2 linked regions of the Schizosaccharomyces pombe genome follow. The gene in region 1 interacts genetically with each later gene. Each region holds a gene or a part of one and is shown on either strand. Other genes may lie near its edges.

Evidence for each region.
Region 2: of eng1 (region 1) and gea1, extra expression of one rescues a mutant of the other (dosage rescue), as found in Schizosaccharomyces pombe (one study listed by BioGRID).

What each region holds. Positions count from the first base shown.
Region 1 is NC_003424.3:996,762-1,012,952, forward strand, and holds eng1 (cell septum surface endo-1,3-beta-glucanase Eng1), read left to right. Parts: upstream 1-1,870; 5' UTR 1,871-2,191; coding exon 2,192-5,242; 3' UTR 5,243-5,600; downstream 5,601-16,191. Other genes in the region: ubiquitin ligase Slp1, read right to left, coding at 1-181; superoxide dismutase Sod1, read right to left, coding at 6,238-6,702; gamma-glutamyl phosphate reductase Pro1, read left to right, coding at 9,633-10,988; serine/threonine protein kinase Orb6, read left to right, coding at 11,678-11,820, 12,088-12,262, 12,308-13,399; dnf1 (P-type ATPase), read right to left, coding at 13,879-16,191. UniProt on the Schizosaccharomyces pombe protein: Cleaves internal linkages in 1,3-beta-glucan. Has a role in cell separation where it is required for the degradation of the primary septum after completion of cytokinesis.
Region 2 is NC_003423.3:3,870,570-3,887,921, reverse strand, and holds gea1 (guanyl-nucleotide exchange factor), read left to right. Parts: upstream 1-8,001; 5' UTR 8,002-8,081; coding exon 8,082-12,470; 3' UTR 12,471-12,797; downstream 12,798-17,352. Other genes in the region: exosome complex component mtr3, read left to right, coding at 1-455; ubiquitin conjugating enzyme Ubc8, read left to right, coding at 1,356-1,910; gamma tubulin complex GCP4 subunit Gfh1, read right to left, coding at 2,256-3,989; sap10 (splicing factor 3B), read right to left, coding at 4,327-4,498, 4,554-4,636, 4,699-4,701; MCM complex subunit Mcm6, read left to right, coding at 4,926-7,604; protein Cwf3, read left to right, coding at 14,284-15,099, 15,158-16,714; rsm10 (mitochondrial 37S ribosomal protein uS10m), read right to left, coding at 16,877-17,352.

The sequences.
Region 1 (16,191 bases):
TTGGTGAGTTTCTGATAAAAGAAGATTTAGGGGAGCAACGCTTGGAAGAACGACCGTTACGGCCTAAAAGTGCCTGCTGATGCAGGGGAGTTATAGGGCTGTTAGGGAAGACTAAGTTCCTTTTCTTTGTGGGTGTTGAAAATGTAGGCGATATGGTTGAAGAATTACCTGCTATCTCCATTTTGATTAACTCGCTCAAAATATATATGTAAAAGAAAAATAATGCAAGAAGCGAATATCAAAGGACAGAAACGTATCCAAAACTTTGAATAAAACTTCTAATGAATTAGAAATAAAGTGGATTTCAATTTCTTTTTGTTGTAGAAAAGATGAAAGAGAAAAAGAAAAGCGAAGAAAGAAAAGACTTTTTAAAAATTCAATAGGTAAGCTATATAATAATGTAACGTTAGTAGCAAAAAGAATTCAACTTTTTTGAAAGCCTTTATTAATTTTTTAAGCTTTGTTGTTGCTGTTTTTTTTTTTAGAGAAAAGAAAGTGCGCTAACAAATAAAGGACTATTAGGTTTCGTAAACAAATCGTAGAAGGAGAAACGAACGTCTTCAAGAATTAATCGATTTTAAGCAAATGAATGACTTTATGATGACCGGCACCACAGCGCATTAATTAATATTTTTGAATAATTGGATAAAAGAATGAGTCGAGTGCTAATATAGCAAGCAATGCAATGCAATGAAATAATATGTGAAGGAGAACCTGCTCAAAGAAATAATCTATTAACTGTATAAGGAAGAGATACCAGTCTTTTCCTTAAGACAAACAATATAGGACCAGCCTAATATATCAAAGAAAAAGGATCCGAAGATACTAAAACTTTGTAACGTTGAAATTCAAAGTGTTTAGATGATTTGTTTACAATAAATTCAGGACCACAGCGTTTAGTATATAAATGCTCTGAATACCCTAACCCTTGGTTACTATGGCTACCACGTGTAAATAAACAAGAGTGAACAATATTTACAGCTTATGGTAATGCTGCGCGTACAGTTGAGGTAAATATAACAACAAACTCTTGATAAACAATGTATTTTCTACTTTTATACTAAATATATTTAAATTCTACTGCATGTTTGTTTTCATTTCTCATCAACCCCCCAGTTTAAATCTGCTAAAATTTGTAACGCATTTCAACAATCTATCCCGTATTCCAACCACCCATCTTTAGCAAAGCGAGTGTTTTGTGTTGTTGCTTTGCTACACGCTACCTTACTAAACAACTGGACACTTTCCAAACAATATGTTGCCTGTACCTATTTTTGTAAAATTTCTGTATTTAGCAATCTATTGAAAAGTGATTTTTTACTATTTGGTTATTTAATAGGTATCCTGAACCCTCACGAATCACCAAGCATTTTTCAATTCAAATTACATAAATATATTTACTCCCATGTTCCACTGTCAAGAAATTAAATTTTCGCGAGCGCGTTTTTAATAAGTAGCTCTTGGCGAAATGCTTGTATTTGGAAAATCTACTGATACTTACTACTCCTGAATATTATTTCAAGTACTATCTAGATACCAATTGTTTTATCCCACGCGTTTCTACTTTTCGAAAGCCACCGGACGCCAAAATATTTAACTACCTAGCTACTTAACGTCATTTTGAAGAGTATCATACAATCAAATAACGCCAAAGTAATGTTTCAAGTTGTGTTGTTTACATTTGCTTATGTATAAACAGTTTTTCTTAAAAAGGGCTGGCTGTTAAGACATCCAGATTTCCGCCGACCACCCACATTTGTCCTCTTTATGGTAAATATGGCTGGACATGCTAAGAAAAAGGACATGATGGCTGTCCAAGTTTCCAAATTTGGAATAATATAAAGTATCAAGGTTCGCTTTTCTAATTACTATAACCTAAGTAAGACACAACCTCCTTATTGATTGTAAACAATCGGGAAATCTTGAAACCCAAGTGATACCTAATCTGGAAAACTTAAGAATTTACTAATCCATATCCACTTAACTATCATAATAACATTGGATATTGGAGTCTAATAAATCCTTAAGCAGCTTCTTCTTAATTATTGTATTACCTTTTTGATTTCCTCATTCTTTGTTTCATTTTTTTTTGTTACTTTAGCAATTTTAGTTTAAATCTTTTATTTTCTCTGTCTTTCCTTTTAGTCATTTTTGGTTTGCTATCTTTTCACTTACTTTATTGTTAGGAACTATGAGTTCCTATTTACGTTCTTTTATATTTGGTCTTTTGACCATAAGTTTGGCACAATGCTCGCCAATCCTTAAGGATACCAAGGATACCAAATTTTCCACAGGCTCTAATATTAGCTTAAAAAAACGTGATACCAATGTTTTCGACTCTGTTGTTGATACTATCAACCCAGCCAGTTATTTCGGCACCGTTTCGCACCCAGTTACTCCTGCCGGCGTCAGTACTGACAGCTTGAGCTCCCCTATTGAAACTAACAAATTTTTTGATAATAATTTACTTGGTTCTCGTACTAATTTCATGTATGCTGATCCCTTCAGATATTGGTGGCAGTCTTCAGACACGATGGGTGGCATTTGTATTGCTCATACCGATGACAATCAACGTGTAATGGATACGGACGATACAATCCCTTCCTATTATTATGAACCCATCGGTATTTGTTCGCTCGGATTTGGTGCTTCTGGTATTACCTCTAATACTGACCCAATTGTCGACGAGATTGATCAGATGTCTGCTCGCTTTACTTTCTCTTGGGACTCTTCGTCTATGCAACTTACTTTGACTGAGGGTATGGCCGTTACTACTGCTGTCTACACTAATGCTATTCCTCAAATTTTTTCATCCACTCTTTATATCAATGACTTTGTCGAAGTGCCGGGTACTTCTGCTGTTCAAAAGTATCGTGTCACGATGTCTGATAACCACGTTTGGCTTATTTACATTTATGGGGATAGCCTTACGTTGACTGAATCCACATCTCAAATGCTTGTTGGAAGCAACACTTTCAATGGTTACATTCAAATCGCGAAAATTCCTCTTGGAGATGGCACCGCTGAAGCTCTTTATGACACTTATGCGGGTGTCTATATTACCGGTATTAGTATTTCCGGATATGTTGAGGATGCTGTTGGTTATTACTCGTTTGATTTTACGACTGCTGGGGATACTTCAGTAGAGCCTCTATTTTTCTTATTGCCTCATCAAGTGGATACAGCTGTCAGTGGTACCAAAGTTACATCCATTGTTTTGGCTTCTCTAGTAAGTGGTGATATGAATGCCGCAGCTGGAAACTCTATAACATTCGCCGAAGCTATTCCTCAGGACATTGGTTTTCTTCCATGGTCGCCGACAGGTGGTCAGATTGGTTATTCGGAAGAAGCATTAGAGATCATCGCTGAGGTTGCTGGTACTGAATTGGGCGAAGACTTCTCTGCCAACTCTAATTTGAATTCAATGTACTATTCTGGCAAAGTTTTGGCTAAGTATGCAATGCTGTGTGTTACAATTAATGATATTCTTGGTGATGAGACCAGCAGCGAACAATGTATTCAAAAACTAGAGGCTGCTTTTGCCCGTTTTGTTGACAATCAGCAAATTTACCCTCTGACTTATGATAACACTTGGAAAGGAGTTGTCAGTGTAGCTGGTCTATCTGGTGATTCCTTGGCTGATTTTGGTAACAGCTACTATAATGATCACCATTTCCATTATGGTTATTTTGTTTTCACTGCTGCTGTAATTGGTCATATTGATCCTGACTGGATTAACACTGGGAACAATAAGGAATGGGTTAACTTTCTAGTTCGTGATGTTGCCAATCCATCATCAAATGATCCTTACTTTCCAAAGCACCGAATGATTGATATTTATCATGGTCATGGTTGGGCATCTGGTTTGTTTGAGTCTAATGATGGCAAGGATGAAGAATCAACGTCCGAAGATTATAACTTCTTTTTCGGTATGAAACTTTGGGGTCAAGTAATTGGCGATTCTGATATGGAGGATCGCGCAAACATTATTTTGGGCATTGAAAGAAATGCTTTGAATAAGTACATGCTGTATGCTGATGGAAACGTCCAGCCCACTTCTATGCAACCTAATTATGTTGCCGGTATTACATTCATGAACAAAATTACTCACACTACCTATTTTGGTACTAATATTGAGTACATCCAAGGAATTCATATGTTGCCTATCACTCCAATTTCAGCTTTTATCCGTGGTCCTAGCTTTGTACTAGCTGAATGGAATGCCTTACTTGCTAGTGTCATTGACTATGTAGATAGCGGTTGGAGAAGTCTTTTATATGCTAATCTAGCTATTGCTGAACCTGAAGAAAGTTATGAATATTTCTCCAGTTCTGATTTTAATACCGATTACTTAGATGACGGGGCCTCTCGTGCCTGGTATTTGGCTTATGCCGCTGGCTTATGGGCTAATGATGCCGTTTATTATCCTGTTAGCTCTTCTTCTACCACCACGACCTCTACGAGTACCGGAAGTGTTACGACAACCTCTACTACTGCAACTGCCAGTTGTACACTACCTATATCCTATACTTCGACTCCTACTACTACAAGCATCTCTGGTACTTGTAATGGTGCTACGTTTGATGCAAGTTTGTATGTATGCGACGGAACTGTACTCTGCCCTATTGTTAATGGTGTATCATATCAAAACTGCAACGGAGCTTGCTATAACCCTTCGCAATATGGCTGCGACAATGGAGCTTTGGGCCCTGTTCAATCTTCATCGACCACTTCCTCCATTACGCCTACTCCCACAACTACTTCCTCAATAACACCCACACCTACTACAACTTCAACAACTACTACCGCACAGTCAACTGGCATGCAACTATGTGGCTCTAACTACTACGACGCATCCTCTTATTATTGTGACAATGATCAGTTATGTCCTATAATAGACGGAGTGGATTACTTGAGTTGTAATGGTGCATGCTATAATCCTTCCCAATATGTTTGTTCTGATGGTTCTTTGTCTCCAAACACTGTTACAACAACAAAAGCTACTACAACTTTCACACCTACACCTACCACAACTACTACACCTACACCTACTACTACATCTGCTACATCCACTAATGTGATAGCCCAATGTGGATCAGCTTGGTATGATTCACAAAGTTATATTTGTTATGGCAATATACTGTGTCCCATTATAAATGGGTCTCCATTGTTAGCTTGTGGTAATGCGTGCTATGACTCCTCTATATACGGTTGCTCCAATGGTGCACTTGTTGCTGCTTAAGCATGACCAAAGTCCGGAATTGTATTGCGAGGTGCTTTTTTGGATTTCTTCAGATGTACTATACTTATTGCTTGTATGTTTTCAAACTATTTAAAAAACTACATTTTGTTCATAATACACGTCTGGAACGTGAACTACTCTCAACTTGAAACCCTTTTTGGATATCGTCTAGGCCGGCTTAGAGATCAATTTATTAAAATTATTCTTGCTGAGTTTTTCTTTTTTGCATCTTTTTGAATTAGTTGGTTATTATTTAACCACTTATTTTATTAATTGTTCACACTGGATGTGAACCTTTAGACTTATAGAATAAAATTTATTTTAAAATACAACTTGTGCAGATGTTTTCAGTTTACACAAACTTGCCTGTCGTTATTGTTTAGTTGAAATTAGTTCGTAAAAATTCATTGATACGTAAAAGTAATAACAAAATCAACAAAGATGAAACGATGGTATTATGATTAATAAAAAAAAAGGCTTCACCCATTAGAATTTTAACAAGATGTGTTGATATTGCTACTATGTGTGTATCTATTAATCAACATTCTATATATCTTTTTTTAAACAATACGAAAAGCACTTTCTATCATCTTTATGCACGAACTCAACGATGCAAAACAAAGTTTTCTGACTAAAAGATCAAAAATTGTTGCTGCTTTTGCTTCTTCATTATCAATACCGAAACAAAGTTACAACAATTCCTTCTAATTAACTGAATTTTATGTAAACTCGAACGCAGAGTCTTAAGGACAAAAATACATCACTACATTTTTTTACACATATAACATAATAGTAACAAACAGCTTCCACAAAGCTACAGTACTTATCATCATCAATTAAATTAAGTTTTTTAATACAGAACCTATAGAAGCATAATATACGGAACTTTTCATAAAAAAAAAGAAATTTGAGATCACTCAACTAAATGATAACAATACTAACCAACACCTAAACCCACAGCCATTTGAACAAAAAGACGTAAAAACTCAATAAATTTAGACGGCAATACCAATGACACCACAAGCGTTACGTGCACCAGCGTTACCAGTCTTCAAAGACTCTTCACTAGTACCCTTACCAAGATCATCCTCACCGGCATGAATGACAATGGTACGGCCAATGATGCTGTTGGCACCAAACAATGAGATAACAGAATCAGAGAAAGTAGTCTTGATGTTGCCCTGAGCATCGCTTTCCAAGTTACCAAGATCACCAACGTGACGAACAGCGGCGGTACGGTCACCGTGAGTCTTACCCTCTGGGTTAAAGTGAGGACCAGCAGAGGTACAACCGTTGGTATTATCACCGAATTGGTGAATATGGAAACCACGCTTGGCATTAGCGTCATTGCCAACGAGATCCACAATCACAGAAACTTGAGAGTTTTGATCGACTTGTTCAAAAGTAACGACACCACTGACCTTAGAGTCACCACGAAGAACTGCTACAGCTCTAACCATTTTGTATGACGATAATTTACTTTAAAAAAATACAACAAGAGAAGGGGTGTTTTGAGTAATTAAGTGTTTTGAAGGAAAATCAATAAGATTTTAACCACACTTCAAAGTTGGAGATTTCGAAAATTTTGTTTGGAATTGGAAGAGGATAGGGCGGCGTGTCATCGCTTATATAGTAAATAGCTCCACGCGGAATATACATGAAATTTTAACGATATCAACTCAAATCAATTTTTCGATATGACCAATGTTTTTTTATATTCTAAAAACGAAGAAATTGTCTTTATACTTATCGATTTAACAAATTTGCTTTACAAAGCATTGTCTAGTCCGTGCCTTCGAGCCTCCAAAATAGGCCAATAAGCTACGCCGAGCATCACCTCAGCTTGGCGTTGGCTTACTCCACCAGTATTCGTAATCATATTACGTGCTCCTTCGCGGAATTGAAATTCCGCTAAAGATGATAACGCGCCACTCGAAGAATAAATAACGATATCTAAAGTTGCGGTAATAGCAATCGTCGTTCTCGTTTTCGTAGACGTTAAAACATTTAGCGTAAGGTAAGAATGACCACGTTGAAGTAAGGTCGCTAATGGGGGTAAAGATCTTCAAAGAAAGGGAAACTTGAGTAGACAAACATTGCATAGAGATTCAAATGCATAGACTAGCTAAAATATCAAACCCCCATTTGGTTCAGTAAATCCCACTAGAGTTCGCAGAATAAAAGTCCTACATGTATATAGATTAGCGTTTTGAGTCTAGGTGTGAAGAGCCTAAGGCCGGTCGGTAGACTTGCAAAGCCCGTTCGTTCACGGAAGTTGTTAGGAGCAATCGCTTGTAACAGTCAAATTGTTATGAAGCTTCAATCGACGTGAGGAGGATAATAAAATTCGCTCTAGAAAGAAATATTCGTGAACTCATAATTTTCCCATAATGAACAAACCTCTCAGTATGCATTTTTGAGAAAGAATCGCAAGTACAACTGCTGATAATATCATTGAGCTTTTAAAAAATAAAATAACATAACCATAGTAATGCTTTGTACTAGGAAGCGAGTGACACTATGGTTATTTTGGAGTTAAAAAAAATCCTGATGATCTGTTTTGCAAATACGTTAATCGCTTCTATCCATCGATCTACCTACATATTATTTTGGTAGAAAACAGAAAAAGTTCTCTGAGGGGGACGCTGTTTATATAAGAAATTTGCCAAGATGTATAAAGTATTATGCCGAAAACAGTAATTACCTTGAGCTACTTATTTTATATGACTTATTTTTGCTATTCGTGAAGTAGCAATATGAGACTATTTTGCTAGTGCGCGAAAGAAATGGCTCATTACAAAAAATAGCGTTTCGCATAATACTAAAGGCGGTATATTCCTAAATACAATTCTCTTAATCATTCTACCGTAATTGGGTACATTACGATATGTCAGCAATACTACACTACGCTATGATACACTACGTTGCGTATCACTATATGTCATATGTTGGAATACTAGCTAAGATCCGTTTATTGATAATCACGGGTAACTATCCGTCTATATACATAGATACCCGTTGATAACAACTATTTAGAAATATTATAAATAGCGTTACAACTGAACCTCGTTCCTCAGTTCAGTTATGAGCTATATTAGTGATAGGTAACATTATAGCCCAGTTAATACAATACCTATACTCAGTTGCTACTTATACAACCTGTGTATTGTAATATAATAGACCACAAGGAAAACTCACCGCAGTTCTTCGTATCCTTAAATCAGATACCAAACTGCGTAGCTTACACGATACACTTAATAACGCATATCCTCAAAATACTTTAACTCTTGGCAATGGGATTGATGAGTAGAATGTGTGCGATTTATGCTCATGATTTGTACAACTTGACTTTGGAGAGGTAGTCAAGAATTTTCTGTTAGTGTATGGAAAAACCTTGATGTGATTCACTGCTGTACAATCAAGCATAGCTACAGAGCCTTAAATATGTTGTTATTGAAAGTAAACAAATGAAATACTATACACCCAGATTAATAATTTATCGATTTTTTTTGAAGCAAAGTATTTCTTTCTGATTCTATAAATTGTCGACTTGGGGGACAATTGTGAAACTGTAAGGCAAGATGAACTTTGCAAATATGGAATTAAATTCAAAGTAATTGCGTTCAAATTAAAAAAAAAGTACTATATTAATGAACAGTTTGATCAGCCATTGTAAACAATTCAATTACAACCGTTAGCGATACTCTATATTGAAGGATGTTTTCCCGAAAAGATGAACAAACAATTTTGTTTGTTGAGCTGTGCATTTCAACTAGAAGCATCTTTAATTTGAATTAAAAACAACTAGATCAAATTGATTCAGTAATAACTGGACACCATGCTAATAAATGTTTTTGCTTTTACGATATGACTATAATTTATTCATGAGAAATACGAAGTGTGTAATAATCCAAATTCTCTATGGAATATACAAAGCACACTTTAAAATTAGTATCTTTGTATTTCTTAACCGAAGATACCCAGTTGCTCATTTTTTAGTCTTTTGTTTACAAGCATAATTCTTGCACTACGTGAAAAGTGAAAAGTAAGGCTACTATATATAGTAACGGAAAAACAAAAACTGAAAATATAACACTAACTGTTCTTGAGGTTGCAAAATATTTTTAGTTAACTGCAGAAGTACTCTCACTTTCCATGATTTCGTATCTTTCAGAAATCTTAGTTATGCTTAATGTAAAGTAACAATGCTTGATTTTGTTACTTGAAGGGTGTTAAATAAATCACGAACTTGCATTATTCATACATTAGAAAAAACAACCAAAATACTACAAAAAGTAGTCTTTTTGAGCTAGCCATTCTAAGAATAAGAATTCGCTTGATTTAAATCTCCCAATTGCCTCTACTCAAAGTTGTATAAGTATTGTTTAGCATGTCTCTTGAAGAGAATGTAAAGGAAGCGAAAAACGCTTTTAACATTTTACAGACATTATCAGTGGAAGACCGTGATGATGCATTGGATAAAATAGTTGAAGAACTGCGCATAAAAAAGTCAGAGGTTCTAGCTGCAAATGCTGAAGATATGAAAGCAGCTAAGCTCTTGGCTGAATCAGGAAAACTAAGTTCATCGATGGTTAAAAGATTGGATCTGTCTTCATCTGATAAATACGATTCCATGGTACAGGGTGTTTTAGATGTTAAAAGTTTGCCTGATCCCCTTGGTCGTGTTACTTATGCTCGTAGTCTTGACGATGGTTTGGACCTTTATAAAGTCTCTTGCCCTGTAGGTTTATTGCTAGTCATTTTTGAAGCTAGACCTGAAGTAATCATTAATATTACTTCCCTGGCTATCAAATCTGGTAATGCTGTTGTACTTAAAGGAGGCACGGAATCAGCAAAGTCTTTCGCTGCACTTTCTAATGTTGTTCGCTCTGCCTTGGGCAAAAGTAAGGTTCCACAGGCTGCTGTGCAGCTTGTTCAGAGTCGCGAGGAGGTATCACAATTATTAAAATTGGATGAGTACATAGATTTGGTTATTCCCCGCGGCAGCACTAATCTTGTACGCCATATAAAAGATAACACAAAAATTCCTGTTTTAGGTCATGCTGCAGGACTATGCTCCATGTACGTCCATGAGGATGCTGATATGGAATTGGCTAGTAAACTTGTTCTGGATGGAAAAACTGATTATCCAGCAGCATGTAATGCAATTGAAACTTTGTTAATTAACGAAGCTGTTTTATCTTCTCATCTTCCTAAAATTGCTGAAACTTTAACTGAAGCAAAAGTTACATTAAAATGTGATCCCGCTTCTCTTAAGGTTTTAAAGGATATGCCAAAAGTTAGTGCTCTAGTTGAACCATCTGTCGATCAAGATTACAACACTGAATTCTCTGATTTGATTCTTGCTATTAAGACTGTACCTTCCTTACAGTCCGCAATGCAGCATATAAATACACATGGTTCTAAACACACGGATTGCATTATCACTTCTAGTGAAGCAGCTGCTAACAGATTCATGGCTGGAATTGATGCTTCTGGTGTGTATTGGAATGCTTCAACCAGATTTGCCGATGGTTTTCGTTATGGTTACGGTACCGAAGTTGGCATCAGCACCAACAAAATTCATGCTCGAGGACCAATGGGTCTTGATGGGTTAACTATTTACAAGTACCAACTTAGAGGAAATGGTCAAGTTGCAAGTAGTTATGGAGTTGGACCTGGCAAACGCGCATTTAAACATACCCCTATTAATATAGACAATATTTCTCAGGTTTCGAAAAAATAAACACAAAAAAGATTTGAAAATTATGTGAAATTGTCAACGTTTTGGCTAGCTGCATTTTGGATACAAATCGGTTAGGCTTTTTTTGTTTACTTGTTTGTCTATAATATTTAAATGGGAGTTTCAATAATGTGAAGTTATTAAATGAAGAGTAAACACCAAATTAAATAGATAACTATTCCTGTAGAGTTCGATCCACCACCTTTAGTTTTTATTACACAAATATTTTTATGGTGAAGAACGAATTGATGTCTCCGTCCGTCTTTTTTGACTATTCATTTCAATTCAGATTCTAAAATCTTCGTAAGCTAAGATTCTTGGCTTCAGTTAGTAGCGTCGTAATATTGAACAGGGAGGGTTAGGAAATGCGCGGAGCTTATCGCAAGCGATCGTTGAAGTTATATAACAAACTGCAGAAGTACTTGCTTTTCCAGTATCGCAGTTTAACATATTTTTATCGGATTATACCTTAGCTGGCAGTAGTCCTATAATTAAAAAAGCATAATAGGACTTGTCATTTACCATATCCGATTTATCACTGTCTCATTTCTGTTTTGCATGTCTTGTTAATTCATGTTTTAAGCGATTGAATTTCAATCTTTTAACAATTTCTTTTTGTTAATTAATTCGTTGACCTTGTAGTTGATTCTAATTAGTGTAAAAATTCCATTTATTGCAACATTTCTTTCAATATGGATAAGAATGATTACTTACACTTTGAACGGAACCCTTCATTATTTCCGAAATCAACTTTAGACAAAGTCCAAAAGACAAAGAAATATATTGAACATTATTACAAGGTGGCAGTTGATCATGCTGTAGAGCGCAACCAAAGGTACGAGTAGCATTACTATTCAGGGTTCTAGCATTGTTTCACATTCCTCAATTAGTATTCCCATCTTATACGTTGATCGGATAAGTATCAAAGACGATGCTTTTATTAATTCTTTCTCCGTTCTCAACTTCGCGTGTTGCAGTAAATGCATAATCTCGAATGTTTATAAAATCTTAGACAGCTTACTCATCTTGTTTCGAAAATGTTAATTAATAATGCTAGCTTCCGTTTAATTTACTTTTAGGTATAAATACTAATTCTCTTTAGACGTATCAATTTGGAGCAACGATTAGCAACCGAAAGGGGTTCTGAGGAGAGAAAGAATAGGCAGTTAAGAGCATCTGGTGAAAAAGAGTCTCAATTTCTTCGATTTCGTCGTACACGGCTTTCTTTAGAAGATTTTTCTACCATCAAAGTTATTGGGAAAGGTGCATTTGGCGAGGTACGTTTGCATAATTGTTTATGTTTTTGGTATCTAATTAAATAGGTTCGGTTGGTTCAGAAACTCGATACGGGTAAAATCTATGCCATGAAATCTTTGCTTAAAACTGAAATGTTCAAACGTGACCAGCTGGCTCATGTCAAAGCAGAACGCGACTTATTAGTTGAATCTGACTCCCCATGGGTGGTGTCATTGTATTATGCTTTTCAAGATTCACTGTATCTTTACTTGATTATGGAGTTTTTACCAGGCGGTGATTTGATGACCATGCTAATAAATTATGATACTTTTTCAGAAGACGTTACTCGCTTCTACATGGCTGAGTGCGTTTTGGCTATAGCTGATGTTCATCGAATGGGTTATATTCATCGGGATATAAAACCGGATAACATACTGATTGACCGGGATGGCCATATAAAACTTTCTGATTTCGGACTTTCCACTGGTTTTTACAAGCAAGATCAGAGTGCCTCTTACATGAAACCTCGCACAGGAAATACTGTCAAACGTGGTCAAATGGTAGATGCTATCTGGCTTACAATGTCTTCCAAGGACAAAATGGCTACTTGGAAAAAGAACCGTAGGGTGATGGCCTATAGCACTGTGGGTACTCCTGATTATATCGCTCCAGAAATTTTCTTGCAACAAGGGTATGGTCAAGATTGTGATTGGTGGAGTTTAGGCGCTATCATGTTCGAGTGCTTAATTGGATGGCCTCCCTTTTGCAGTGAAAACTCTCATGAAACTTATCGAAAAATCATCAATTGGCGTGAGACTCTGACTTTCCCAAATGATATACATTTAAGCATAGAAGCTCGTGATTTGATGGACCGACTTATGACAGATTCAGAACACAGATTAGGTCGTGGCGGTGCTATTGAAATAATGCAACATCCTTTCTTTACTGGAATCGATTGGGATCATATACGAGAAACTGCAGCTCCATTTATTCCGAATTTGAAATCTATTACCGATACACATTATTTCCCTGTTGATGAGCTTGAACAAGTTCCTGAACAACCTGTCACACAACAACCTGCTTCTGTTGACCCTCAGACGTTGGAACAAACCAATCTGGCATTCCTTGGGTACACTTACAAAAAATTCAATTATTTAACGATGAAAGGAGCATTGTAAGACTTCTGCAAGAAACTCCATAGCTACTTTGTTCATTGTCCTTTGAGCATCTAACTATTGTTATCGAATTTTTTTTATCGTTAATTCATGTTTACCTTCTTTTACATTATTTTAGCATAACTAATAATATTACCAATTACTTTTTTTTAATGTTGTCCCTACTGATAAAATCTTACATGCACTTCTGTAAATATTAAATTCGTTGCATAAGAATTCCAAATTAATGCATAGATTTTATTAGGGAAAAGATAAAAAAGAGTGAGTAAAAAACATGTATTAATAAGTACAACAGGATGTTAACGCCAAGAAAACCAACCAAAATAGTAAACAATAATTATGAAATGCGGATCATGACCCATAACTAATAGACAATTTCTAATTGAACAGTGGGAACCCCAGAATTTTAACATTTTACCAGTAAACTGACTATCGTCTAAAGAAAGTTTCATATACTAGAATTGGATTAATGAATTAAATGCCTAATCTCGGCTTTTTAAATATTGTTCAATTTCATCGACAGATGGTGCATTGGCTTGTAAAAACTCACCGCTCTCTTGCTCAAACCGAGAGCGGACAAAGGCATCGTTTTCCATTTCCACAAATATGTCGGTGTCCGTAGGACGTAAAGTCCTTCGTAACATTTGGGCAACAATATCAATTGTTAAAGCACAAACCATTACAAAAAGCATAGTAAGCCACCATGAAGGATTTTTGCCAAAATGATGGAGAAACTGTGATCTAGCAAGATATAAATTCTTGTCCGGATAATGCTCGCTTATAAAGATATTAAATAAAAACCAAGCCAAGGACGTTAAAACAAGTACTATTATAGAAATGATGTTTATGTATTGCATCTCTATAAAGACCAATTTGAAATTCATGATAAAAATAGCAGCAGTAAAAATGAGTTGACCATAAGCGAAGATATTGTTGTCATTAAGTTCCTTCATTCCAAATAAACTATACGTAACATAGAAAACTAAGAAAGCTTGAATGAAGGCTATTGAACACCACCCAAAATACACTCGCCAATTGAATGCTTCATTGTTGATTCCCTTTTGATAAAGCTCCGGGACAGCGATTACGGTACTAGCACTTAAGTCTTTTTCAAAAATACCCAGCCCAATAACACATAACGAAGAAAATAGTGTATTAAAGCAAGTAAGTCCCCAGCTTTCGTAAAGGCTCTGCCCTGTGTAGCCAACAAAAGGTTGCATGATAGCTTGCATCAAAAAGAAAAACTGTTCTTTATAGAAGGTACCGAGAATATACTTTGATAATCTAACATAGCTCCATCGGCCATGACAGAATAATAACTTAATTAGGAATTTAAATCGACCTATCGAAAAATCCGATGATCTAGCAGCTTGAAGACCCTCACGACCAGCAATTCCAATACCAACATGGGCTTCTTGAATCATAGCAATGTCATTAGCACCATCGCCAATAGCTAAAGTGACAGCCTTTTCGAGAGTATTACGCACTTTTTGAACCATTAACGCCTTTTGCATGGGACTTGACCGACAACAAATAACAGAGTCCGCTTCAACGGCAGTATTTATGAATAATAAAAACAGTTCAGGATCATTCTCTATATCGGCAAGAGTACTGCCATCTATCACAATAACCAGATGAGCTAAGGAGTTACTGTGAATAGCATTCATGCAAGATATAAGCTGATGAATCATCAAAGAAGCTGGATCATTAGTAGGAGGTCGATCTAATGACAGCCTTTGACCACCACTGACAGTTTCATCACTTCCTTCGACTCCATCCAGAGAGCCCATGACAACAACAGTTGAATATTCTTTTATTACGCCACAAGAATGACCAATATTGATTGCTGTTTCCTTTTTATCACCAGTTAGCATCCAGAATTTGATGCCCGCTCGGAAAAGTGAATTGATTGATTCTGGAACACCAACTTGCAATTTATCTTCAATTGCCGTAGCTCCCGCAAATTCTAAATCTTTTTCAATAAGGTCTGCAGCTTCATCTAAAAGTTGTTGCCTGTTGGATAGACTGTTTAACGCCGCATCATTCACCAACTTCCAAGACTGATACTCGCTTTCGTCAATGAAACGATGGGCATACATAAGGGTTCGTAGACCATCAGTTGCAAATGCATGAACATGCTCGAAAGTGTTTTCAAAAAGTTTGGCATCATTGTGGTTTAAGGATTCATATATTGATCCCTCAGCTTCTTCTTGTTTTGATAGATACTTTTTATCTTCCATCAGACGTTCACCGCCTGCTAATGAATGACGTCCAACAGCTGGTCGACGCCGGGTTTCAAGAATACTGGTGCTAGCACGGGGACGAACTACACCCATTTTCTCACGCCTTTCATCGAGCCAAGAAGTGACGTTGTTAATATAATCATTTCTGCGCCGAGACAAACTAGGTCTTGAAGCCGTTAAACTTGGCCTCGAAGTGCTCTGGCTATTCCGAATAATCGCCTTGTCTATTTCAATGCTTTTACGAGCCTGTTCAGCTTTGGTTACTGATTTGTCCTTCCGTTTGGCGAGGTTGGAAAGACGAAGTCGCTTTATGATCGCTGAATCTGCTCCTTTACAAAACAAACATATCCTTCCGTTAGGCATGCGTACGATAACAGACATACATTTCCGTTTGCTCGTAAATTCGATAATGTTCAGTATTCGGTATGTTTTGGCAATCGGGTGAGAGTGTGGGTCCAATGGATAATGCAATCGGATTGTCAAGCTGTCAATGTCTCTATCAATAACAATGTAACCTAGCTGTTGAGCTGCATGCACAAGAGCCAACTCATC
Region 2 (17,352 bases), on another chromosome or scaffold:
GCTATTCCCAAATGATTGAAGCAGCAATTTCTCCAAGTATATTACTGCATTTGTATCCGAAAAGTTCTATAGACGTTTATATTCAAGTGATTGAAAGTGACGGTGCATTAGCAACATTGGCTGCTGCTATAAGTTGCGCATCAAGTGCAATAGCTGATGCTAACATCGACTGCATAGATTTGGTGACGGGCTCGAGTGTATTATTTAATCCCAATACGGATGAATATTGGATTGATCCTGATTATGTGGATGAGCGTGCAAGGGCTGCTAAAGGTTCTGTAGTTATGGGGTACATGGCTTCTCTTGGTCACGTTACTCAAGTATGGGAAAGAGGCACTTGCTCTCCGAGTCGCCTTTCGTTTTTGACGGAAAAATGCATAAAGAATGCCAAAGATACTCGGTTAGTAATTAATCATGCACTGCTACTAGAGAAGTCGAAATCCGAAGATCCTTAGATATTGGAATTCTACCTCTATAATAATATTCTGTTGATGGCTAATATTTATACCAATTTTACAAATTACATAATCAAATTTATTTCTTTTTAAAATTCTCTTCTATTAGTTGGCAATGCTCAAGTTTTGCCTTTTTTTCCTTAACACACATTTGAAGGGAGACGCTATCTTTTCTCGACAAACAAGCAGATGACTTCCCTAAGTAGATTTTCTTCTTTGAAATCAGCTTGGCCATCCGCAAGTTACGTTTGTTATGAAAAATACGAGTAAATATTAAATTAAAGATCTTAGTTTTTATCACTCGCGAATATATTCAGTAGCCAAACGATTAACTCTTTCCAATTTTTTCCAGTCTATTTATCGATTCCAATAGAACAAAACAAATGCTGAGATTTTATTAATACATATATTTGATACTAATTTATCAAGCTGCATTGAGACGAAAGCATCTTGGTAGTACTAGAATCATTGTTACTCACATACTGTTACCTGCTTCTTATAACCTCCAAATCAGCGAAATTCCGCGTCTTCATCATAGCCAAACTTATGCTCAATTGCCTCGTTTGTAAATTAAAATATATTTAACAATAAGAAGGACGATAAAGAGGGGATTCTTCTATACAATAAAATTGCTTTCATTTAAATTAGGTCATTGATGATTATTAGTTGTTGCTTTTAAAAATTTGATATATTCACGGACAATAGGATAGAACCATTTAAAACGGAAGCTAAGAATCTTTCCAAAAGTCCAAAATAATTTGATTTTATTGAAAATTACTCGAAAACTGCTGAATTTGCGAATTTGCCTTTATTGCAGCAAATTACCGTATTTGAATACTACACTAGCTTAAAATTATTGAGTTCTTTTTTAGTTTTGAAATAAAACTATAAAAAATCAAAATGTCGAGCCCAAGGCGCAGAATTGAGACGGACGTTATGAAGCTGCTGATGAGTGATTACGAGGTAACTCTTGTCAATGATAATATGCAAGAATTTTACGTTAGGTTCCATGGACCGTCTGAAACCCCTTACTCAGGTGGAATATGGAAAGTTCATGTTGAACTGCCAAGTGAGTATCCTTGGAAATCTCCAAGTATTGGATTTGTAAATCGTATATTTCATCCCAATATCGATGAGCTTAGTGGAAGTGTTTGCTTGGACGTGATAAATCAAACTTGGTCTCCAATGTTTGATATGATTAATATTTTTGAGGTTTTTCTTCCACAGCTACTCCGTTATCCTAATGCGTCGGACCCTCTAAATGGAGAGGCAGCAGCTCTATTATTGCGAGAGCCGAATACCTACTATGCCAAGGTTCGAGATTATATCGCTCGGTATGCTAATAAAGAAGACGCTGATATAACTTTGAACGACTCTTCAGATGATGACACCATGTCTTCTATTGACACTGAATCTGGCGATGAAATTGCTGGTCCAATGGACTCTGATTTTTAAATTTCGTTACGTTGCTTTGTTTGATATACATTGATTCTTTTTTGAATTCTCTTTATGGATACTGATTGTGGCATTCAATAAACCGATGGATAGCTAAATCTGTTACACTTTTTTTTCTATTGATGCATTGAATGATTCTTTTTGCATGCTGTCGCTTGCAAAACCCGTTTGAATTTGCTTTCAATCAGTAGTCGTGACAACGATATTTAATAGGTTTATTTTCTTGAAGCTTCAAGTTACTGCAGCATAATTTACGACTATAACTCCATGATGCATAGTTAATGAGAACTAATATTTAAATAAAATAGAAAAAAAATATTAAATAAATACATTGATCATATCTACCTATAAATTAAGCTGAACAATCAGCGCGTTAATTATTTCCCTATCATACGATGGATCATTTTCTTTCTGTCGTATGCATTCAATCGAATGAGATACGTGAGCAGCTAACTGACAGTCAACTTTCGAAACTTCTTGACTACGAAATAAAGAAAGCTCATGGTAAATCGAGTTTAAAGAAATGTGTAAATCATCATCGTAAAAAAACAACATTTTCTTAGCGTAAGTCAACGTTAAAGCATGCAATTGAGAACAGTCTTGCATACGTAACTTTTGTGTTCTATATAACTCAGTAAGAGATTCCCGTAATTTACAATATGACGGCTTTATAACACATTCGTAGGCATAATATTGTAAAGATGATAAGAACCATAAAGTCACCCACAATTGAGTCCATGGTTGAGAAATACCTTTGGCAGTATACTCCTTTCTTTCGTAAAAAAGGGATTTGATTTTAGTTATACTTAAGTGTAAAGAACCTAGTAGTATCCATAAATCGGAATACACATTTAAAGCATTTTTATCCATAAACAAATTGAACGGCCATTTTAAACACAATAACAGTTGCATATTGAGTCCCTCTACATCGATTTTACGATTCTCAGAGCGAATCATTTCATCTTCTTCATCAAAGATACTTACAAGTTTTAGAAAAGATACACATTCTCCATATTCAGTAGCGAGATCAAGTAAAGAAATAGTTTTCCTTAAAACAACGGGTAAAATATCATCAATTACTACCCCTTGAACGTCATTTGAACTGCAATATTCACCACGAACGTCTCTGAACATTTCAGATAATGTTGGAAGAAACTCAACATTTTCAAGTAACATCACCATCTCTAGCATTTTTACCAAATCGAAAATCTGATGAAACGAAGCTAATTGAAATATTATTTTTTCTGATACCAGAGTGAACATTTCATCTGCTAATTTTGTCACTGAAGATTTCGTTAAAGGCAAAGGCATTTCATATACCAGTCTGTAGAAACATCTAAGAATTTCACAGAAAGCGTCTGTGAAACATTTTTTTGCATTGAGCATACACGTTCGTATTGAAACTAAGCAATTAACGATGTCTTGGGTCAAAAAAGGGACATTATTGCTACAAGATACAAAATCTTTAGTATCACCGCATAAAAACGAACATTTGAAGCTGTCATCGCCGGAATCATTTACCAAATACTGCACTAATTCGTCAAGCCAAGTCTTCTGAAAAGCACATTCACACTCTAAAACCAGCTTTTTAAAATTCAAATGAGTAGAGCCCATATACATATTATGCAGCTTTTGAAACGTAGAAGCTACACTCAAGCATTGAGAAATATTACCTTGAAGTACTAGCAGACTAGATAAAGTTTCTTTCCAATCTGCTAAATGCGCTTCTAATTGCGCCAAGGATACGAATTTTCCGGAACCTACAAAATAAGGATCGCTGGATATAATCATCCGCTCTAAATTAGCTAGACTTTCATCATAAAGAAATAATTTTTTCGAAAGCAGAAGTCTAAGAGCTTTAAGAAGAAACTGGTTTTGCTGAATCAAATCTTCATCAAAAATTTCAATATATCGTTCTATCCTTTTCCTTTTACTTGCCAAAGATACTATGTCATTAATTAATTCTCGTTCACCAGGGTGTAATGGTTGAACAGATGGATGCAGTAGTATTTGACCATTTTTCTCAATAAACAGGCCAGAAGTATTCCCTGCGAGCAACAAAATAATCTCATGCAACATATAATGTATTTATTGTTACAGAGTTTGCATGAAAATATTCAACATATAGCCAATTTAAGTAAACTACTCCAAAGGAGGCTTTCGTAGTAAATGAGATAAATAGCTAAAACTTATTCGTGTTACTTTGAAGGTAACGACTAGGGAATGTCTTGCGTTGTTACAATGAACAATAATCAATGTAGCATTGCATATAATTCAATTAATATATATATATATATATATATATATATATTATTTTGTAATAACCTAGTAGGTACTGTTTATCTTAAACAAACAAAGTCTCAGACGAGCGAAGGTTTAACGACATTAATTTTGGGCAACAGGTAAACACAACACTTTAAAATTGATTAGAAGGGGGAGGTGGTCCACATGGCATGATCATTTTTTCTAATAGGTTTTTGCGAACTTGGACTCTCGGTTCGCCGAGCGCCGTTGCCATATATGCGAGCAACGGTGGATGCCCCACTACAGAAGACAAAGTATCCCGGTGCTGATTTACCATCCATTCACTAGTTTATATGGTGAGCGAAAATTCATTTGTCAAATAAACCGATTAGTACTTACTATTTGGTGGTAAACGCATTACCGACACCAACATAACGCGCTTGTAACTGTTCTAGTTTTGCTTGAGAGCGCAACCTGTCTGCCTACAATCGTTAATAAATGAAAGAAGCATAGAATAGAGATAATTCAAGAATTTTTTTCTTACCATAGTATATATTGGAATATGTGGTATAATGTTCAGACTGGGTTTTTTTAACACATATTGTTAATTGAAACGAATAAGGTATAATACTGTAATTTGCAATTCTAAATTGCGATTTCTAGCGCACCAAAGCAACCACAGAAATAAACGTTTCAAAATAAACATTGCTATCCTTTGACCAAAAACCTGTAGTTGCAGTTTTTTGATAATAGGGAGCACTACACTTGAAGATGTCTTCTCTTGCATCTCAGGGTAATAATGCTTCAACTCCTGCATATCGTTATGGGTTTCAAACTTCAGAAGTTGGGGACAGGCCAACTGTAAGTATGCCTTCACAACCTGAGTCGAGTGCTATGCTCGAGGATGATGGAATGGTGAAAAGGAAACCTTTTGCTGCTATAGGAGAAGCCATACCAAAGGTAATTGATACAACCGGAGAATCAGTACGTGAAGCCTTTGAAGAGTTTTTATTGTCATTTTCTGATGACCGCGTTGCTGGAGGTGATGCTCTCCCTTCTGCATCACAAGAGAAATATTATGTTCAACAGATTCATGGATTGGCAATGTATGAGATTCATACCGTTTACGTTGATTATAAGCATTTAACCTCGTACAATGATGTGTTAGCTCTTGCGATAGTTGAGCAATATTATCGATTTTCTCCTTTCTTACTTCGAGCTTTACAAAAGTTGATTGAAAAGTTTGAACCAGAATATTATAGAAGTTCTCTTTCTCGTGAAAATGCTTCACTTTCACCGAACTTTAAAGCCAGTGACAAAACATTTGCTCTTGCATTTTACAATTTACCCTTTCGATCCACAATTCGGGACTTACGAACAGATCGTATCGGTAGACTCACGACTATTACAGGTACAGTTACTCGTACTTCTGAAGTACGCCCTGAATTAGCACAAGGTACTTTTATCTGTGAGGAATGCCACACTGTAGTTTCAAATGTTGAGCAAGCATTTCGCTATACTGAACCAACTCAATGCCCTAATGAACTTTGTGCTAATAAAAGAAGTTGGCGGCTCAATATTTCACAGTCTTCTTTTCAGGACTGGCAAAAGGTGCGCATTCAAGAAAATAGCAACGAGATTCCTACGGGTTCTATGCCACGAACTTTGGACGTAATTTTGCGCGGAGATATTGTTGAAAGGGCTAAGGCTGGTGACAAATGCGCATTTACGGGAATTCTTATTGCCGTTCCAGATGTCTCACAGCTAGGAATTCCTGGTGTAAAGCCAGAAGCTTATCGAGATTCTCGCAATTTTGGTGGTAGAGATGCAGATGGTGTGACAGGACTGAAGTCTTTAGGTGTACGTGATCTTACATATAAACTATCTTTTTTAGCTTGCATGGTTCAACCAGATGATGCAAATGATAAAAGCGGTGCGGATGTCAGAGGGGATGGTTCTCAAGGGATCGAAGAGCAAGATGAATTTTTGCAATCGCTTTCTCAAGAAGAAATTGATGATTTACGTGCGATGGTGCATTCAGATCATATTTATTCTCGTTTGACAAACTCACTGGCTCCCTCTGTTTATGGTCATGAAATAATTAAGAAGGGGATTCTTTTACAGTTAATGGGTGGTGTTCACAAGTTAACTCCTGAAGGTATAAATCTTCGTGGCGACCTGAACATTTGTATTGTCGGCGACCCCAGTACTTCGAAATCACAATTTCTTAAATACGTTTGCAATTTTCTTCCTCGTGCAATCTACACTTCTGGAAAGGCATCATCTGCGGCCGGTCTCACAGCTGCAGTTGTTAAGGACGAAGAAACTGGGGATTTTACTATAGAAGCAGGCGCTTTAATGTTGGCTGACAATGGAATATGTGCTATAGATGAATTCGATAAAATGGATCTGTCAGACCAAGTTGCTATTCATGAAGCAATGGAACAACAAACGATATCTATAGCAAAAGCTGGAATTCAAGCTACATTAAACGCACGGACATCTATCCTTGCTGCTGCAAATCCAATAGGTGGCCGCTATAACCGAAAAACAACTTTGCGGAATAACATCAATATGTCTGCTCCTATCATGTCACGGTTTGATTTATTCTTCGTTGTACTAGATGAGTGCAATGAATCAGTTGATAGACATTTAGCTAAGCATATTGTTGACATTCATCGTTTACGGGATGATGCCATGCAACCTGAATTTAGTACTGAGCAACTTCAACGATATATCAGATATGCAAGGACTTTCAAACCAAAGTTAAATACAGAATCTTGTGCCGAAATTGTTAAAAAGTACAAGCAATTGCGGATGGATGACGCGCAAGGTGCTGGTAAAAATTCATATCGTATTACCGTGCGACAACTGGAGTCAATGATTCGTCTATCAGAAGCCATTGCAAGAGCAAACTGTGTAGATGATATTACTCCTGCATTTGTCAACGAAGCATACTCTTTATTACGTCAATCAATTATCCATGTGGAAAGAGATGATATTGAGGTTGAAGAAGATGATGCAGAGGCCCAAGAACTTGAGAATGATAATACTAATACAACAAATGGCAATGATAATGTTTCTTCGGAAGAAGCTTTGCAGAAACCAAAAGTAAAAATTACTTACGACAAATATGTTTCGATTATGAACGGAATATTACAGGTTTTACGCCAGCGCTCTACTGAAGGTGTAGATGGAGTACCAGCGGGAGACCTAGTTCAGTCATATCTCGAGCTTAGGGAAGACCAATTCCATACCGAGGAAGACATCATCTATGAGGTTGGTCTTGTGCGTAAGGTATTAACCAGGCTTGTTCACGAATCGATCATCATGGAAATTCAAAATTTAACTGACAGCGCCGTGAGGCTTCCTTTTGAAGAACGCGTATTTTCAATACACCCTAACTGTGACATTGATGCTCTACTGAGCAATGGCGATGTTCCGAACTAAGGTTATAAAAGATTCGTAACGATCTCTTATAAGTTTTATCAGTGAGGCGTATTTTTGAAACAGACCTGACATTAATTGTTGAAGCACTACTTTAATTCACGAAATTGGTGTATTTTTTTTTTCCTCACTGCATACCGTAGAAACCCTGATTTGTTATTTTAATCTTTACACTCTTTTTTTGTACTTTTATTCACTAAATTTGATAATACTATTGGATCCTACCGAAAAATATATACTCATTTTCCTGATCTAGACATTTATCAGATTAATCTATGTTTATTTCAAACATATAACCCAGGTAAATTAGTATAGTGATACGTTAAGCAATGTTAATATGTTGAAGCATATCTGCTGAAATCCGTTCAACACCAAAGGAAGGGTGAGACTGTTCAGGACTAAACCTCTACGCTATTTACAATAGTAAACACCTCAAGTTACTTTTTATAAAGACTCTTGATTAGTAGCTACAGAAGGGCTATGGAAGTGCCTCGCGCATCTCCTAACCAAGAGCCGTTATGTTCGATTTCACCGTCCTCCTTGGTGATCAATGAAATTATAACTGTCGTGACGGCAATTAGAAAAACCACGAGATGGAGGAATTCTGGTGTTGCATCCATTTTAGGAGTCTCAACACTTAAAGACGAATTTCTGGCTGATGGTTTAGAAAGCCGATGGAAAACAAATGGCGAAAAAAGCAGTAGTATCCGATATCCATTGGTTATGGAGTTTTCACAGTTAAAAGAAGATTTGACGAACCGTGCTAGCTTAAATGGATACGATAGTTTAAAGCTTCTCTCTCCGTTTTTGAGGACAATCAAGTCCCCACGAATGACAGGTTATATAACTAGCTTATGTTTATCAGCTATACTCAAATTCTTTTCTTTTCGAATCATTTCTGAAGAATCACCCAATTTAGCACTGTCAATGCGTAATCTATCGTTTGCTATTACTCAATGCCGTTTTGAGAGCTTCGATGCTTCACAGGATGAGGCTGTATTGTTGCGAGTTTCTAGGCTAATGGAAGAATTGTTAAGAGGTCCTGGAAAAGCTGTTTTGAGTGATGATTCTATTTGCGAAATTGTTGAAACAGGGCTCAGTATGTGTTGCCAGTCTAGGCTTTCCCAAGTTTTACGCTATAGTGCTGAATTATCGATGACATCTATCCTTGAAAAGATATTTGAACGCTTGAAGTACATTGATGTGAAAACGGATAGTGAAGATTTTTGGGACGCATCCGAAGAACACTCTATCAAAGGAGAGGAGTTCCATTACAAAAAAATCACCGAAGGCGATGAGATTTCAAATGAAATCGATCCCTTCGGTATTGGTTCTATTCGCGAAGTTTTTCGTGTACTAGTTTCCTTTATTGACTTTGGCAAGCAAAAGTTTTCTGATAATATTAAAGCCATGGCATTGAGATTTATAAACACAGCCTTAGAGGTCTCTGGTTCACATATTAGCGATTTTCCTTCGCTTCGAGTACTCATCACTGATACTTTATGCAAATCACTTCTACAGCTCATTCGTAGTGATCATACAGCTTTGCTGACAAATTCCTTGCTTGTAATGACTACTTTACTTCAAGCAATGCCCGGCTCTCTTAAATTGCAGCAAGAGTTATTTATCTCTTATTTAATATCTTGTCTCCATATACCTTCAACCACACCTCGTGAACGTAATGTTGAAACATCTTTGCACAAGGTAGTTTCTTCGTTAGACCTGAGTGAGGAGATTAGTCCAGATCGTGCCACACCAACTTCGTTTACTGAGAGAAAAAGATTTGCTTTCGACACGAGAAATAGACCTCCTGAAGTTCGTGAGCTTATCGTTGAATGTCTCGGATCTTTATCCCGCATCCCTTATTTTTTGATAGACTTGTATGTCAATTATGATTGTGACCCTCAAATGTCAGACCTTGCCATTGATCTGCTGAAAGTTTTGACAAGAAATTGCCTTGTTGACTCTGCTCGCTATTCAACTGCTAATGTACCACCACTTTGCCTCGACGCTCTTTTAAATTTCATTTACTATTTTCATGAGCATTTACAACCTTGTTATAATGACCCCAATAATACTTTCAAAGATGATGTCGCTAAGACATTAATCGAATCAAAAAAGAGAAAAGCAATTATTATTGAAGGTGCCGAGTTATTTAATGAATCCCCTTCAGATGGTATTGCCTTTTTAACTCAGCATTCTATCATCAAGCAATCCGACAATCCTACTTGTATTGTTGAATTCTTCCATTCTACTAATCGTCTTAGCAAGCGAGTTTTAGGAGAGTTTCTGACCAAAGGTTCCAATTCTCATATTTTAAATGCTTTTATAAGTGCATTCGATTTTAAAGGAAAGAGAATTGATGAAGCGTTACGACTTTTACTTCAGTCGTTTCGTTTACCTGGAGAATCTCAATTGATAGAAAGAGTTTTAGAAACATTTTCTCATTATTACATGAGTGCGAATCCTGATTCCATGTCCTCAAAAGATGCCGCGTTTGTCCTTTCCTACTCAATAATTATGCTAAATACCGACCAGCATAACCCAAACATCAAATCTCAACGTCGAATGACTTTAGATGATTTTTGCCGTAACGTACGCGGTGTAAATGATGGGCAGGATTTTGATCGAAATTTTTTGTCTGAAATTTACAAAGCAATAAAAGAAAATGAAATAATTGTTGCCGAAGAGCATGACACTGAGCTTTCATTTTTATATATTTGGTCAAAGTTACAGCAGAGCGTGAAAATAACTGAGCCATTCAAGCGTTCGAGTTCTAACGTGCATGATAAAATTGTTTTTCTTGAAGTTTGGAAATCGATAATGGCCGCTTTAATATACGTGTTTTCTACTGCGACAGAAGATACTGTATTCTATAGGGTTGTCAATGGAATTCAGCAAGCTACGGAAGTGGCTGCAGCATATGAATTGAACGAACCGGTTGATTATGCTATTGAGCGCTTTTGTCAATTTACTGCGCTCGATCCTTCTTCTGTGCCAGGTACTCAATTAAATACTGCTATTAAAGTGGAAGACCGTATTATTACAGTTAGTGAATTAAGTGTACGTTTTGGAAGGGATTTTCGTGCTCAATTGGCTCTTCTGGTTCTCTTTTGGATAAGTAGTAAGTTTGGTAATATCATAGACGCAAGCTGGCCCTTGTTGGTTCAGCTCACCATTTGTCTAGCCCGAAATAACCTAATTGATAATTCGTTTTTACCTGGTTTCAAGCTGTTTGGGTATCAATGGTTTCCATTTCCTGAACCTCCGTTGAATTCTGGGAAACCCGCGTTAAGCAAAGAAGGAGGTTTATTGTCAGCATTATCTTCATATTTATCAAGTTATGCAAATGATGAACCTCCTTGTCCAACAGATGAAGAAATTCAACATACTTTATGTACTATTGATTGCATCTCTTCTGCTAAAATTGACAATTTCTTAACTAAATTGGTCGATCTCAAGCAACCCGGATTAAACAAACTTCTGGACTCTCTTCTTAGTCTATCAAATCCGTCGACTAGCCTTCTGACTGATGAAAACACAGTGGATGATAACAAAGTTTCGTCTGTAGAAGCACTCAGTAACATCCAGTCTGCAATAGTAGCTGATCTGCTGACATCGTTATTTTTGGGAACTAGAGAATCACTCAACAAATTGGAAAGAAGAACCCAAATTTTGTCATATCTTCTATTTCAAATTGAACAATCTGGGGATGAGAAAGTTATCAACCAACTCTCTCTATATATCTTCGAGATGTTCATGGATGACGACTTGAAGTTAAGCGAGAACTCAGAAGACTGGGGTTTATTCAGTAAGCTGTGCAATCTTTTGAACGATAAAAATATTGTTGTCAGAAATCAGAGCTTATCACTTTTTCATCAGTTGGTAAACAAGTACCCCTTTCTACTTGAAAGTTGGATAGGACTCCAGCTTGTCCAATCCGCTGTTAATACAAATACAGCAGATATTGATGATTTATATAGGCTGCTTAGCAAAATCCCTACTAATTTACTTGATCTTCCAATGTTTCAAGTATATTTAGGTTGCGTTGATACGCTAATTCAGACTATTGTGAAACAAATCGCGCAGATTTTGTCAAAGCAAAAAAAGGGAGCTTCAAAAGGGCTTCCGTTTGATAAGTCTATACTTGATAACCATAGTGCAGAATTGAACGATGCATTTAATTTATTTTTAAAAGCAGCAGTTGAGTACAAGGTTGACTCCAATGAAAGTTCTGAACATTTTCAAGATACAAGATGGAAAATTATTTACGATCATGTTTGTAAGCTTTGCCTCTCGCGAAGTCGTTCTTTAAGAGCAGCATCTTTGTCATGTTTGCAGCGAATAGTCGTGGAACAGTTAGATCAGCCTCACGAAGTTAGTTATACTATGGCTCTCTTCCACCTGGTGCTTCTTCCAACTATGGAAAACATGATCACTGTTTTAACCGAGAAACCAGAGCATAAAATATTCGGTCTAGCGCAAGCCCAAATGTTTAATATAATTTGCAAAACTGTGCTGATTGATATGAATGTGTTGTCAGCCCAAAAGGAGATGCTGCATACATTATGGCTAAAGTTAATGGACGTGGCCATAAAATTAAGTTCAATCCATGGTTCAGAGTCTATGGCTGAGGTAATGGAATCTATCAAGAATGTTTTTATGATTTTACACGGTGCTGGAGCACTCGCAGGACCCACTATTGAGGTCGATCCAGAAATTCCTGATCATCTGATAAAAACTTGGAATACTACATGGAATAACCTTTTCATATACTATCCAGAATTATCAAATGACTTAAATATCAACAACGAAGCCGAAATGAAGAAAGAAAACCTAAAAAATCCCTCACAAACGACTACTGTTTAGTTTTATCCTCTTCAATTTTTCTCATTCTTTATGGATTTAAAGGGACTATCATTTTTCCATATATGCTCATTGAAGCCTAGACTATCAAAAAGTATAGGGCGATTAGAAAGCCTGACAACTAAGTGCATACAGCAATTCTGTTACTGCTACCAAAATTTTTTAGTTTGATACAGTATCTTATACTCACCTAAGTGAGATATTCAAGGTTACGCAGCGAAATATATCTAAAACTAAACGTCACAAATCGAAAATGCATCGATTCTTTCTCTCTTTATTATATTAAGATATATAATTTTTTACAAGATACAAAAATCTAATTGGAAATGTAATCGAAATTAAACTGATTGTAAACATTCAATAATTTTCTCTAAATATTGTGATGCTGCCTCCGCATTTTCTATCATGAGTTAAGAACTATCTAACGGCCAAAATATTTGGATATGTATTATAAATTATAAGCTTTAAAACTTTAAACACACTATCTTTTATACCGAGGTCTGACAGTTTTTTGTTAATAAAAACAGTCACAATGTGCTATTAAAGCACCAACAAAACATTTAGTTTCGTTGTGCTGGTGATATCGCACAAGTTAAGTGAAAAGGGATATTTTGCTTAACTTGCTACGATATTGCTAGTTAGATATCTTTTTGAATGGTATGTGCAAATTTTTTTTTTTTTAAATATGTTTTGAGTTGATGATGATCATTTCTGTTCCTAGTAGGGCATTCGATGCGGACACTTTTGTATTTTAGGAATTCTTCGTTGCTGAACTAACTCAATAATTTTGAAAGCCTAATTCGATTACTATTAATTACTAACTTCTTAGGTATGTTTATTGAGTCTGTGTTAAGATTGCTAAGATGATTATACTTTACCCCTTTCTGTTGGTGATAATCAATGATCCTCAGAAAACATGCATCACCGAATGAACATAGCACGTCTCAGCCATTAATTTCGTAATTATTAATGTTTTTATATTAACTAATTTAGATTAATTGATTTTAGCTGTTTTTTACCGAAGCATTTACTAAAGCCATTTACATGTATGATGATACTTAATTTTCAGTTCTGCTTCTGAGAAAAGCTTGAAGACAACCTGATACCAAGAAACTCTCTATTATCTGATTGTGTTAATAGGCTTACTGCATTTGCTTGTGTTTTGAAATAGATAAATCAAATATATATGTTCGTGTATTAATTTGGAGTTTGTCTTAGTATTGATTGTTTCTTTGTTTATAGTATATATTGCAAACAATTAGTCAAGGATTTAGGCATTTCGATGTGATTTTTGTAAGCTGATTATATGTACAATTAGTGTTTTTGCCGCTCCTAATTAGTGATAACTAGTTTGAATACTCGTTAATTTTTATGACCAAAAGTCACATTAGCACCACTATTAGCTTTATATCTACCAGGTGAAGCGATTTTGCGTTTCGTATAAATATAATTTGAATATAGCAATCAATGAATAAATTCGAAGTACAGAAGAGGTTTACTGATAAGGGTAGTTAAATAGCAGAAGGTCGTTATGGATAGTGATTTACAACAAATGAAATAGAAATCGAAGGGCTGTATTTTGTAGCTCTGATTTATCAACATACTTTGGCTTAATTCCCTAGAGGTGGGCATATAGACAGTCTTTTAATTCTGTAATTTATTTGTTTTATATCTTATAAGCAATGTGCTTTCTCAATTAAGTTTCATCTTATGGGGTTAAAATTGAACTTCATATTTTTCACTTGCCCAAGGTCTATTGTATGCACGACAACAGCCTACATCGGGCTTCTTTAGAAAACAATCAAAAGGATTAGAAATGGGAGATGTTATTCCACTGAAAGTTAATTTTGATCTAATTAATGTTGATGACGAGCCGTTTGAGCTTGAATTGCTACGTGATCCATATTCTCTGAAAAGTTGGTTACGATATATAAAGACCCATGAAGGATCTACTTTGGAAAAGCGTGTGCTTTTATTTGAAAGAGCTTGTTCAGAACTCCCGGGAAGCTATAAAATATGGAAAAGCTATTTGGAACTACGTGTAGCGCATGTTGAACATTTGAACCCATATTTTCATGCCGAAGCTTTTGCTTCTGTAAACGATTGTTTTGAGCGCTCTTTGATTTTATTGCATAAAATGCCTGTTATTTGGAAACTATATTTACAATTTTTGATGAAACAACCAAATGTCACTAAGATTCGTTGTACATTTAACTCTGCACTTCGCGCCTTACCGGTAACTCAGCACGATGATATTTGGGACATGTTTACGAAATATGCTGAAGATATTGGAGGATTATTTTGCATCCATGTCTACCGCAGATATATACAAGTAGAACCAAGAGCAATTGAAAACTACATTGAGATACTTTGTAAATTAGGGCTGTGGAATGAAGCTGCTCGACAATATGAGGATATTTTAAATCGGCCCGTGTTTTTATCAGCAAAAAGGAAGAGCAATTATCAGATATGGCTCGAGTTTTCCGAGTTAGTTGTTCAGCATCCTGACCATACGCAAAACATAGACGTAGAAAAGGTTTTTAGAGCTGGCATTAAAAGGTTTTCTGATCAAGCAGGGAAACTATGGACTTATTTGGCACAATATTATATACGCATTGGTGACTACGAGAAGGTATGTTTAACTGGTTTGTTTATTGACCCCTTATTGCAAAAACTAACTTATCGTACAGGCAAGAAGCACATTCTATGAAGGGATGAATAACATAATGACTGTAAGAAATTTTACAATTATATTCGATGCTTTTGTTGAATTCGAAGAGCAATGGCTATCTGCACGAGTTGAAGCAAGCAGCGGAAATGCAAATGACGAATTAAGTATCGATTTTCATATGGCCTGGCTCGAGAAAATACTTGACAAACGTCCGCTTTATATCAATGATGTATTATTAAGGCAAAATATAAATAACGTTGACGAATGGCTTCGCCGAGTCAAGTTTTTAGAAGACGACAGCGAAAAAGTTGTTCAAGTTTACACAGACGCTATAAAAAATGTAAATCCAAAGCTGGCGCATGGCTCCCTCGGCAAATTGTTTTCAGAGTTTGCTCGTTTTTATGAAAATTTTGATGATTTAGAACAATCAAGGATAATTTTTGAAAAGGCTACTCATGTACCATATAAAACAGTCAATGAGTTAGCACAAGTTTGGATTGACTGGGCCGAGATGGAACTTCGACATCAAAATTTTGACGCTGCGAGAAAATTAATAGGAGATGCCGTTCATGCTCCTAGAAAAAGTCATATCAGCTTTTTTGATGAATCACTCAGTCCACAAGTACGGCTACACAAGTCATCTAAGATATGGATGTATTATCTTGATCTTGAGGAAAGCGTTGGTACGATTGAAACTACACGCAAATTGTACGACCGCGTCTTTGAACTAAAAATTGCTACTCCCCAGGTGGTTGTCAATTATGCAAATCTCTTAGAGGAGAATGCTTATTTTGAAGATTCATTTAAAATTTATGAGAGAGGTGTTGCGTTATTTAGTTATCCCGTGGCTTTTGAACTTTGGAATTTATATTTAACAAAATTTGTTAAACGATATCAAGGAACGCATATGGAAAGGACCAGGGATTTATTTGAACAAGCATTAGAAGGATGTCCGCCCGAATTTTCGAAAAGTATTTATCTTCTGTATGCCGATTTCGAAGAAAAGTTTGGCAAAGCAAAAAGATCCATTTCTATTTTAGAAAAAGCGGCCGACAAGGTTAAAACAGCAGACCGTCTTGCTATTTACAATGTGTTACTCGTTAAAGTGGCATTAAATTATGGTGTACTGGCGACAAGGACAGTTTATGAGAAGGCTATTGAATCCCTGAGTGACTCAGAAGTCAAAGATATGTGCTTAAGGTTTGCTGAAATGGAGACGAAACTTGGTGAAATCGATCGTGCTCGTTTAATATATATTCATGGAAGTCAATACTGTGATCCAAGAGTTGAAACGGATTATTGGAAAGCATGGCAAGAATTTGAAATAAGGTACGGAAATCCAGAAGAAACAGTTAAAGAAATGCTTCGTATTAAACGGTCTGTACAAACTAAGTTTAGCACTGATTCCCTTCATATAGCGAAGAGAGCAGCTAAAATTGAAAGTGCAGCAGCACCAATGGATCCAATGGAACAGCTTGAAATGGAAAAATCTGAAGGACCTAAGGCACTTGCGGGTTTTGTTCTTTCGAAAAGCAATCCCCAAGAAACTTCAAAAATTACTGGTGAGGAAAACTAACGAAACAAGTGTGGACTATTCGTAACGTTTTTAGTTAAAGAACACTTTTAATGAAGAAAAGCTAGTGTCATATTGTTAAAAAAAAAAGTACGAATACAGTCAGAGTATTTTTGCTAATAAACGGTCCAACATCAGAGTAATTGAAAACACATTAGTTAATTTTTATTTTCGAGATGAATTTTTTAACAAATCTTTGTAAATGGGGTCGTTTCTGAGCAATTTTTCGGCATTTTGTGTGATTATATCTTTTTTCGAAGGACCGTTTAACAATTCTTTGAAATTATCAGTAGACTTAGACTGTGACTCGAAGTTTTTAAGGGCATCATCGATGGATTCGTATTCATAAGCTTTTGCTTGCAATTTTAAATCCCACATGTTGCATTTTCGTAAATAACTAAAAAACGTTTCTAAAGTAACTGGATTGACACTGTACAGTTGTATAAGTCGAGAGTGCGTAATACGTTCAAAATTCTCCTGAGAAGATTTGTGAATAAAAGGTGATCGGAGTAAAGTCCAGCTTTCTACTTTGTTGGGTAATGGACGTGGACCCTTGATTGGAATTTTCATGTAATACGCTGTTCGACAAATGAAGTCGGTAAACGTATCAAGTTTTGGAGTTTCAAAGCTTTTAATTTTTA